Macaca mulatta: one gene and its partner. Each later gene encodes a partner of the first gene's protein in a complex. Links are inferred from orthologs where the notes say so. Each region holds a gene or a part of one and is shown on either strand. Other genes may lie near its edges.

Region 1 (5,093 bases):
ACACGGGTTCACATTTCTCACATCCTCTATCATTTCGTGTTTTCTGATTTTTTTTTTTTTTAAAATAATAGCCATCCTAAGGAGTATGAAGTGCTATTATTACTTTTTTTTTTTTTTCTTTTTTTGAGACAGTGTCTCACTCTGTCACCCAGGCTGGAGTTCAGTGGTGTGACCTCAGCTCACTGCAATGGCCGCCTCCTGGGTTCAAGTGATTCTTCTGCCTCAGTCTCCCAGGTAGCTGGGATTAGAAGTGCCTGCCACCATGCCCAGCTAATTTTTGTATTTTTAGTAGAGATAGGGTTTCAACATATTGGCCAAGCTGGTCTTGAACTCCTGACCTCAAGTGATCCACCCACCTTAGCCTCCCAAAGTGCTGGGATTCCAGGCATGAGCCACTGTGCCCAGCCAAGTGCTCCTATTTCTGAAGCATTTTCATATTATATAATGACATTCATTTTTAATGTCTTTATGAAGTGGATGTAGAAAAGGTGAATTTTATAAAGCAGATAGAATACATGATTCTAAGATTCTGTGCAAAGTAATGAACAATTAAATTTCCTTATATTTGGGAAATGGTTTATCATTTACAAGGGACTTTCACCCCAAATAAATATTTCATCATTGTTCCTCACAGTGAAACCACAAAGAAAGGCAGATATGTCATTTATTAGCCTTACTTAAGGGGGAAAAGAAACTGAGACTCAGAAATATTAAGAAACTTCTATTGCAAGCAGTCTCAGCTCATTTTTAGACGAATGAAGGATAATATAATGAAGAAATAAAAGGTAACATTTTCAAGACCTCACACCACTAGAAAGTAGCAGAGTGCATGTTCTGATCCCATATCTAATGTTTTTTCTCCCACACTACAGTGGCCTCGGAACAGGGGAACGTCTGGAGGGATGGGTTTTGGTGGTAGCTTCTCAATGTAAACTTACTGTGAATGAGAAAGATCTGTATATGTTTTCACTTCTAGTTAATCTCCCGAGTGAAGCCTTTTCTTGACAGGAGGAGGGTGTTTGCTTTTACTACATTACTGCTGCCCCCTGGGGTTTGGAAGAGAAAAAACGTCTCTTCTACCCCTTCTCCACACAAAAAACACAACTCACACACACACGAGCACACGTGCTCACCTCACATTCACACACCACACGTGCACATGTGCCTCAAACACAGACATGCGCGTCTTCCACATGTACCCCCAGCACACACACACACACACCCCACATAAACATCACACGCACGCACGCCACACACACACTCCACACGTGCTCACAAACACACCCTACTCCTTCCTTCCTCCCTGCTTCCAGGAGGGTGTGACCTGTCAAGTTTCTAGAGGGAGGCCAGTTCCCTCCAGGCCACACTGCTTTGTCGATGTTGACTTCTGATACACTTTGGCCTTATGGAGTGGGATGAAGAAAACTAGGAAAATTTCCGGCTTAAACAAAGTCAGGCCTTTAGACTGTGGTTTCATTTTCTGTTGGTTTGTTTGAAGCATTGTGAATCTGTCAATAGCCAGGTACACCCATATCACAATACGGGCAAAATTGAATGCTTTCTGGAAAATCTTCTCTGATTTGCCCTAATCTGTCTCTCTCCATTGACCACAGTGGTGAATGTTGACTCAGGACCAGGAGATAGTGGACAGCCCCACCTAAAAGTTTTGGGGTTTGGGGGCTACTTTGAGTCCCAGAAGAGAGCCTGGGTCTCACTATCATCCTAGGCCATGGAATGACGTGCTCTGCCGTGCAGGCAGAATGTCAGGATTCTTTCATCAACTGACACAGTCAGTGAGCACCTGTAGTCCCAGCTACTAAGGAGGCTGAGGCGGGAGGATCGCTGGAGCCCAGGTGTTCGAGGTTGCAGTGAGCTGTGGTCGGGCCACTGCATTCCAGCCTGGGCAACAGAGCAACACTCCATCTCTTAAAAAAAAAAAAAAATTTCCCGTCATTGTCAAACCACTCACCTTCAAGATTTTTACACGTCAAACCACCCATCTTCAAGATTTTTACACATCAGATTAGGCCAAGTAATTTGATAGCACTTGGATAGCAAGGCTGGAAAAGCAAAGAGGAGGAAGGGTGGTAGGAACTCAGTTACATTAACTCCAGTGTTCATTACTTTGTTTCATTTTGGCTTTTTCTCCCCTAGCTCCTTCTTCACATCGTAGAAACATGGCGTATAGGGCTAGAAGCAAAAGCCGAGATCGGTTCTTTCAGGGCAGCCAAGAATTTCTTGCGTCTGCTTCAGCGTCTGCTGAGAGGTCCTGCACGCCTAGTCCAGATCCGAGCAGCCACAGGGCTTCCCTGGAGGACACGCCTGTGGATGATCTCACCCACAAGTTCACGTATCTGGGGAGTCAGGATCGCGCTCGGCCTTCCTCAGGCTCGTCCAAGGCTACCGATCTCGGAGGAACAAGTCAGGCCGGAGCAAGCCGGAGGTTTTTAGAGAACGGCAGTCAAGAGGACCTCTTGCATGGAAATCCAGGCAACACTTACCTTGCTTCCAATTCAACACCAGCCCCCAAGTGGAAGAGCCCCACATCCTGGACGAACGACCAAGGCGCCAGGAGAAAGACCGTGTTTCCTCCCACGCTGCCTGCCGCCCTCTCTTCTCTTGGCTCTCTGCAAACACCTGAAGCTGTGACCACCAGAAAGGGCGCAGGCTTGCTTTCCTCAGACTACAGGAACATCAATGGCAAAAGTGGAACTCAGGACGTCCAGCCTGGCCCTCTTTTTAATAATAATGCTGATGGAGTGGCCACAGATACAACTTCTACCAGATCCTTAAATTACAAAAGCACAAGCAGCAGTCAGAGAGAAATATCAACACCTAGGACTCAGGATGCTGGACCTGCTTCCCGAGATGTTCAGGCCACTGGCAGAATCACAGATGATGCTGGCCCAAGAGTGGCACTTGTTAATGGTAAATACAAAGGGAAGAAACTTGGGGCTAGTGCATTTGTTCACGATACACCAAATGGCTCTAGTCAAGTGGCAGATAAAACTACTGACGTAGAAAAAACTGGTGCCACTGGTTTTGGCTTCACAATGGCAGTCATGGTGGAGAAAGATAAGTTACGTTCTGGAAGTCAGAGTCTGAGGAGCCTGGTCCCCACCACACCTGGGGAATCCACTGCCTCTGCACAAGTCAGCACTCTGCCTCAGTCACCTGCTGCGCTTTCCTCAAGCAACAGAGCTGCAGTATGGAGGGCCCAGGGGCAGAACTGCACCCAGGTTCCTGTTTCCCCTGCCAGTGAGCTCACAAGGAAGACAACAGGCTCTGCTCAGTGTAAGTCACTGAAGGACAAACGGGCCCCTGTGTCTTGAGTCTGCAGCAGAGTGGCTATGGCTGCTGGGTTTTCCTTGCATGTTCCCCAGTTCTTAAAGGGTAAAGAGTTAGAGGGTTTTGGTTAAGGGGTGGTCTGGTGAGGAGGTTGACTAGTGAAGACAGGGAACGACCAACCAGTAGAACCACAGGGAATAAGCTGCCACATTTATTGACAATAGGAATATTTCAACTATGATTTAAGAAATAAACACAACTTTCACAGGACTCTGAGGTCCACATTTTTGTTTTATGGAGGGGCTGTCTAGACACTCATGAGAAACACATAAATCATAGGAATTTTCTTGAACATGGCCTGCATTTCAGATATTCTTTCCCATTGTGAGACCAAGTGCCTTGATTTTTGGTTTAAACATTACGATCAGCATACATGCATCCTTTTTTGTTTCATAGATTCTTTATCTGATGTCACAAGTACCACATCTTCTAGGGTGGATGATCATGGCTCAAAGGAAATTTGTCTTGACCATCTGTATAAGGGTTGTCCGTTTAATGGTGAGTAACCTAAGGACTTTTCTGTAAGCTTCTACCTTTTGGCCATTGTAAATAACGCTGCTATGAACATGGGTGTGCAAATGTCTTCTCAAAACCTGGCTTTCAATTCTTTTAGATATATACACAGAAGTGGAGTTGGGGGATCATACAGTACTTCTTTTAATTTTTTTTTTTTTGCGGAACTTTTTTTTTTTTTTTTTTTTGAGACAGAGTCTCGCTCTGTCGCCCAGGCTGGAGTGCAGTGGCCGGATCTCAGCTCACTGCAAGCTCCGCCTCCCGGGTTCACGCCATTCTCCTGCCTCAGCCTCCCGAGTAGCTGGGACGACAGGCGCCCGCCACCTCGACCAGCTAGTTTTTTGTATTTTTTTGGTAGAGACGAGGTTTCACCGTGTTAGCTAGGCTGGTCTCGATCTCCTGACCTCGTGATCCACCCGTCTCGGCCTCCCAAAGTGCTGGGATTACAGGCTTGAGCCACCGTGCCCGGCCGCGGAACTATTTTTCATAGTGGCTGTACCATTTTTCTTTCCCACCAGCAATGCACAAGGGTTCACATTTCTCCACATCCTCACCAACACTTGTTCTTTTTGTGTGTATTTGTTTGCCTTTTTTGTTTGTTTGTTTGTTTTGAGACGAAGTCTCGTTCTGTCACCCAGGATGGAGTGCAGCGGTGCAATCTCAGCTCACTGCAACCTCTGCCCCCTGGGTTCAAGTGATTCTCATGCCTCAGCCTCCCAAGTAGCCGGGATTACAGGCGTGTGCCACCACGTCCGGCTAACTTTTGTATTTTTGGTAGAGACGGGGTTTTGGCACATTGGCCAGACTGGTCTTGAACTCCTGACCTCAAGTGATCCACCCGCCTCGGCCTTCTAAAGTGCTGAGATTACAGGCATGAACCACTGCGCCCAGTAACTGTTTGTCTTTGATAGCAGCCATTCTAACAAGTGTGAGTTGTGGACTATAATGAGTGGTTATGTACTTTTCAATCAGCCAAGTCTCAAGTGGGGCCACTCTATGGGTGTCCCTGCAGTGTCTAAACTTGTCTTTTTTGTTAGTTTGTTTTAGAGCTGTCACACATCTTTATTTTGAGTATTTCAAAACAATTTAAACATAATATAATGCAAATTTTGAAAAACAGAACTATTTTCTATCTTCCTGTATTGTAGCTTATAACATCTATTCATTCTTTAGCCGGCATTTCTGCAATGGGTATCTTTTTTATGCCTAGCCCTGTGCCAAATATGCAAAGG
Region 2 (5,093 bases), on another chromosome or scaffold:
GCCCAGGCTTTGGGTGCTGCCCTGGGCCACCGAGCCTTCATCCCTGTCCCCAGCACTATAGTGCAAGCTGTCTTTGGGCGAGAGCGTGCCATCATGCTGCTGGAGGGCCAGAACGTGATCCCACGGCGAACACTGGCTACTGGCTACCAGTACTCCTTCCCAGAGCTAGGGGCTGCCTTAAAGGAAATTGTAGCCTAAGTAGGTCATGGCAAGGGCCTGAGGCCTGTCCCTCATAGGCTTCCAGGTTAGGCACTGTGAATAGGCTCAGCTCCTCTAGAGAGCTGAAGCCATCTGGTTCTTAGATTTCTCCCCCAGTCCTCTTTCCCATTGTTCTGTTGCTCCACCTTATTGTCTCAAGGCTGTAATCTCATCAGGTTGGGACATTAATCTTTTCAACTCCTTGCAAGATTTCCTAGTTGGGTTTCTCTACATGTCCTGCAGCTGCCCCACTTCTCCTTTATGCTGTGTAGAGAATGCTCTGCAGTTTAGGCAATAAAGATAAATTATCTCACTAACCTTGGCTCATCTCTCTGGCCTAGATTCGCCTACGATTTACTTCAAGGAATGTCACCCTAGATGATTCTTCCCCCAAGACGGGGTTTTGAAAGTTATAATGGGCAGTCTCTCTCATCACCCTCTCCCTTCTTGGTCCTTCAGTTGCCAAAAGAGCTTGTCACAAGTTTGGGACATCTGGTTATGATAAAGGTAGGCACTAGAAGACAGAATGATGATCCATTTCCAGTGGGCCCTGTAGTCACCCTGGATGCTGTCAGAGTGCCATTAGAATGCCAGTAGAGGAAGAGGTGAGGCCCAGGTGTAGGATAGACTTCAGTCTGTGTCACCAAATGGCAAGTGCATTACTAACCACACAGTGGTCCCAGTTTATCAGGCTGCAGCAGAACAAAGCCAACATCCCTGTCTATAAGAAGCTTAGGACTTGCCTCTCATCTGACTGGGGCCACTCAAGTCAACCAGCGCCGTTAGCACAAAAGGGCAGAAGATACTTTTGGTCTACTGTACACCCACCATCACTGAAAGTGAAAAGAGCAAGATACCAATCAAGAACTATAAACAACCCTATCCGGAGAAAAAAAAAACCTCCCAAGTTTTCATCTAAGACCCTTTTTACCTACCTAAAGCTGTGACATCTGCCATAACTTGATCAGACACAGTTCCCCCAGCCACCAGTTCAGGCCATATTAACCAGTCTCTTCTTCTCAGGGACCTCTGGGTTATCTCTGAATCACTGTCACCTCCTTGACCAGCCTGTCTCCAACACACCTGCCCCCAGCCTGGGTCAGTATGGTACAGTGGTGTAAATCACCAAAAAGGGAGGGGTGAGGACACAAGGACCCAAGGACCCTCCCCATCATCATTACATTCTCCATGCAGTATTCAACTCCCTGTGCCATTCAGAGGGAGGCAAAAGTCACGGCCTGGAAAAGATCTTATCCAGAGACTCATCACAGGGCCCACATAGAACAGAATCCAGGGGCACCTGTCCTACTTCTTTATCTGGTCTTGGATTCCAGGAAGTTGACTGGCTCTGTATTGTTCCTGGGGGTATGACCAGCCTCAAAGGTAGACGTAACAGAAAAGCATACTTTAGGCTGCACTAAAGGAAGGAGTACTGATTAATACCGTCTACACAGGGAATGTGCTACCTTGGAGATAGTAAATTCCCTGGCACAGGAGGACTTCAAGCAGACCAAGGGCAATGACCTGTAGGAATCAGGGTGGAGAGAGCATGTTAGTGACAGCAGAGTTGGTCTGGTGGCCAGTCAAGTGCCTTCCAACTCTGGTTATTTCATTTTCCAGATAATTGGTTCATCTAGAACCAACTGGTTCAACTTCCGTTAAGTCTTCCCATCCCCATACACACATACATAAAGCAGAAGTGTGCCTCACTTTATGCAACATATATCTTCCATAGAGAAAATGTTAGGGTTGGATCACATTAATATTGTCATTGCAGAGCATGGCTTCATCGATTTGGTGAAAAATCGACGTGTTCATCTCAACACCAGCAAGTGCATCTAACCAGGGATTTGCCAACAAATTTGTTAGTCTGTAAACAAACACTTGAATACAACAGGAGAGCTGCCATTTATAGGAACCCTGAGAGTATTCTGATAATGCAGTCATCCCTAATTTACCTATTGTATAAATGTGGATTTTGGAGGTTGCTCAAAAGGGATGCAGCCATTATAGGGCATGTTATAGTGAGAATGCAGTGTTAAAATCTAGGGTGTGGACCCTGAAGACAAAGGACCCACATCTCTCTGAAAGTGAGGTTTTGGTTAGAGAGCCTGTGCAGCCACAGGCAGACACACCTGAGACTTGGTCCAAGCACCTTTTCTCCAAGAAGCTTTCCTCTATGTTCTCATTTCTCCTCCCAACAGGTATTTTTACCACTGATTTGTAGGCGGAAGTAAAGCCCAAGCAACTCAATCAAGGTCACAAACAGGCATAGCTGAGACCAGAAGCCAAGTCTCCCTCTGCCTTCTTCACTAGCTCACTCCATTCTATCGTGGCCCCATCCACATAACGCTGTGGCCCTTCCAGGGCCCAGCGTCTCCTTCCACACTCCCAGGAGCTCAGCCAGGGAGTATCCTGTCCTCTGGCCATCCACAGCAGCAGCCAGAGAGAGGAACAGCTTAACTTCCTGTCAGTTCCCGCCCACCCTGCCCTCCACCCCAGCTCAGCTTGGAGGTGGAGCCAACAGTCTCAGTGTCCAGAACTAATCCTCTCCAGCAGCCCCTACTCCCTACAGAAACCCTGTGCTAAGGCAAAGTTGAGAAGTTAAGGCTGAGCAGAACCTCTTGAGAGCTGGCTGAGGTCCTCACTCGGTAAGATCAGGTCACTTTATGGACCTGTCCCAAAGTGGCTTCCCTGATCCAAAGCATCAACTCAGGGTGCCTCTGGATCAGAGTGTGAGCAGCAGAGGGACTCTCACAGAAAGGGCTGAGCTGGAGGCGGCTGGAGCTGACCGGGCGGCAACCACTCAAGCAGGTGAGGCTCAAAAGTTAAGACTGAGCAGGGCCTCAGACAGTTGGTTAATGTCCCGGCAGTATGGCTCCCGCTGCAGGATGAAGTCCACCTTGTGATCCTGACCCCAAAACACCTCCAGCAGCTGCCGCCGGAGCCGCTCTGTTTCCCGGGTCTTCCGAATGCCACCACTACCTTTTTCCTCTTCTCTCCCGTGCTGCTGTTTACCATGTTCTGCAAAGCCCCTGGAAGGATGCTGAGCCTTAGAAGACCCTTGTGTCCTAGGAAGAAACAGACCAAAAAGAGCTGATGAGCATCCTGGAGGGAAATTAGATCTTAGTGGGCTACCCCTCTCTTAATTGTCCTGCCTATTCTTGGCTTTGGGGGAGAAACCCTGAAGTTCCTGAAGCTGACCACTGAGTGGCAGTATCAACCCACTTCTGAAGGGGAGCTGGGCCGTTCTTTTGGAACCAGGGTGAGCTCTGCCACTATTATGATATAGTTCTAGTCCTAAATGAATCACTTATGTAATGGTCAGTAGAAGGCAAGCTGAATACAACTGGATCTCAGTATAAGCAACCGTTTTCCAAATAACTCCATCAAACATGCTGATTAAGAGAAACAGGAAGCAGGTGTTTCCCTACCAGCAAGGAGGTTCTATGTCAGGATCCCCTGGGAAGCTTATAAAGGCCAAGGCAACTCAAACCACTGCAAAATTAAGATTACACTTAATTTTGCCCAAACTGAGATCACACTTCCACCCAAGTCTCTGGGCCTGCTGAGAGAGGGCCAGGGGTGGGGGCTGCCCGCAAGTAGTCTAGGGGAAGGATTACCTGGCTGGCTTCTTCAGAAATTCATCCAGGGTGGGGCCGTTTCGTCCCAGTGGGTCATCAGGTACCATGAAGAGGTTTCCCACAAAGGTAAAGGGCAGCAGGCTGGATGGCGAAAGATATGTGGTCACAGAGGGGGCCCTGGCCCACCTCCCAGACGACTGAGACCAGTATCACCAGAAGCTGCTGGCTCCATCCTTCAAGAAAACTTCACCTGCTTCCCAGAGTTTTCACCCCATGGCCAGAGCAGAGCTGGCTTTAGAAAAACATCTGCATCTGTGCCCAATTCTCAGCAGGAGGGCTCCCTCACCGTTCTCTGATGATTGCCATCCACTTCTCAGACTCCTCCGCCAGGTCCCGGAACTGGTCATTGGAGACAATTATCCCATCTGTCTCTTCAGCCAGCTTCACCATGAACCTGTCTCCAAAACCACAGCAACCAAGAGAGGGTTGAAAAATTACCTACTGGGTACAATGTTCACTATTTGGATCATGGTTACATTAAAAGCCTAGACTTCACCACTATGCATTATATCCATGTAGCAAAACTGTACTGGTATCCCCCAAATCTATAAAAATAAAAGGAAAAACCACAGCAACCATTTGAGACTCTCCAAGGCCCCAACCCCAGAAGTTTTACTGACTCCCATGAGTCACTTCTGATGATGGAGATCTGGCCCCCTACCTCACTTGACCCAGCTACAGGCAACTGACTAGATATAAGTGCCATGGGCTAGAGAGGAAACAAAGATGAATCCAAGGTGGTCTCCCAGTAGTATCCTATCTGCTCACCATAGTCCTTTACCCAACACTTTGTGCCACATTAGTGAACAGTAAGATCTAGCTCTGACTGTCTTCCACCCTGCCCAACCAATCCCTCGCAAATCCAACATGCCCTTCCTTTGAAAAGCCTTTGTGCTCTGCTCCCTTCCTTCCCAGGACCACCATTAGTACCCTAGTAATTCAAATACTGCAACTGAGATCATGCATCACTTCCCAACAAGGGGGTCCCCACCTCTGACCACTCACCCACCCTCAAGTCTCCCCTGCCCTGCCACAAGAAAGCATGCTTATCCCCTACACAAAACTCTTCCACACTTGCCCTTTATTTACCAAATAAAGTCTACACACCCAGGCCTGGCAGCTAAGGCCTTCTACAGGCCAGCTCAAATCACCCTTACAGCCTTCTCTCTCCCAATATTCCCTAATCCACTCCCAACTCCAGCTAAAATCAATAATCAGATTACACTCTGCTCTCCACATATGTCTTATGCT

What was found. Proteins that work in one complex are often made in the same cells at the same time.
Region 2: the proteins of ZC3HAV1 (region 1) and KHNYN are in contact, whole or in part, in a crystal structure (PDB 9BGL), measured with the Homo sapiens proteins. The link is inferred for Macaca mulatta from reciprocal best matches to the Homo sapiens genes ZC3HAV1 and KHNYN. Residues at the interface, in NP_064504.2 of Homo sapiens: Glu5, Val6, Cys8, Phe9, Lys12, Ile13, Ala16, His17, Glu29, Ile30, Ala31, Leu32, Leu113, Glu115, Phe118, Ser127, Gly128, Leu129, Asn130, Glu133; in NP_001277186.1 of Homo sapiens: His651, Lys652, Asp654, Phe655, Gln658, Arg659, Pro661, Tyr662, Asn677, Phe678.

Annotation. Positions count from the first base shown.
Region 1 is NC_133408.1:178,909,930-178,915,022, reverse strand, and holds part of ZC3HAV1 (zinc finger CCCH-type antiviral protein 1), read left to right. Parts: intron 1-2,154; coding exon 2,155-3,294; intron 3,295-3,744; coding exon 3,745-3,846; intron 3,847-5,093.
Region 2 is NC_133412.1:97,557,643-97,562,735, reverse strand, and holds part of KHNYN (protein KHNYN), read right to left. Parts: intron 4,241-5,093; exon of another isoform or gene 4,237-4,240; coding exon 4,129-4,236; intron 3,924-4,128; coding exon 3,822-3,923; intron 3,270-3,821; coding exon 3,020-3,269; 3' UTR 199-3,019; coding exon of another isoform or gene 1-198. Other genes in the region: epimerase family protein SDR39U1, read left to right, coding at 1-198.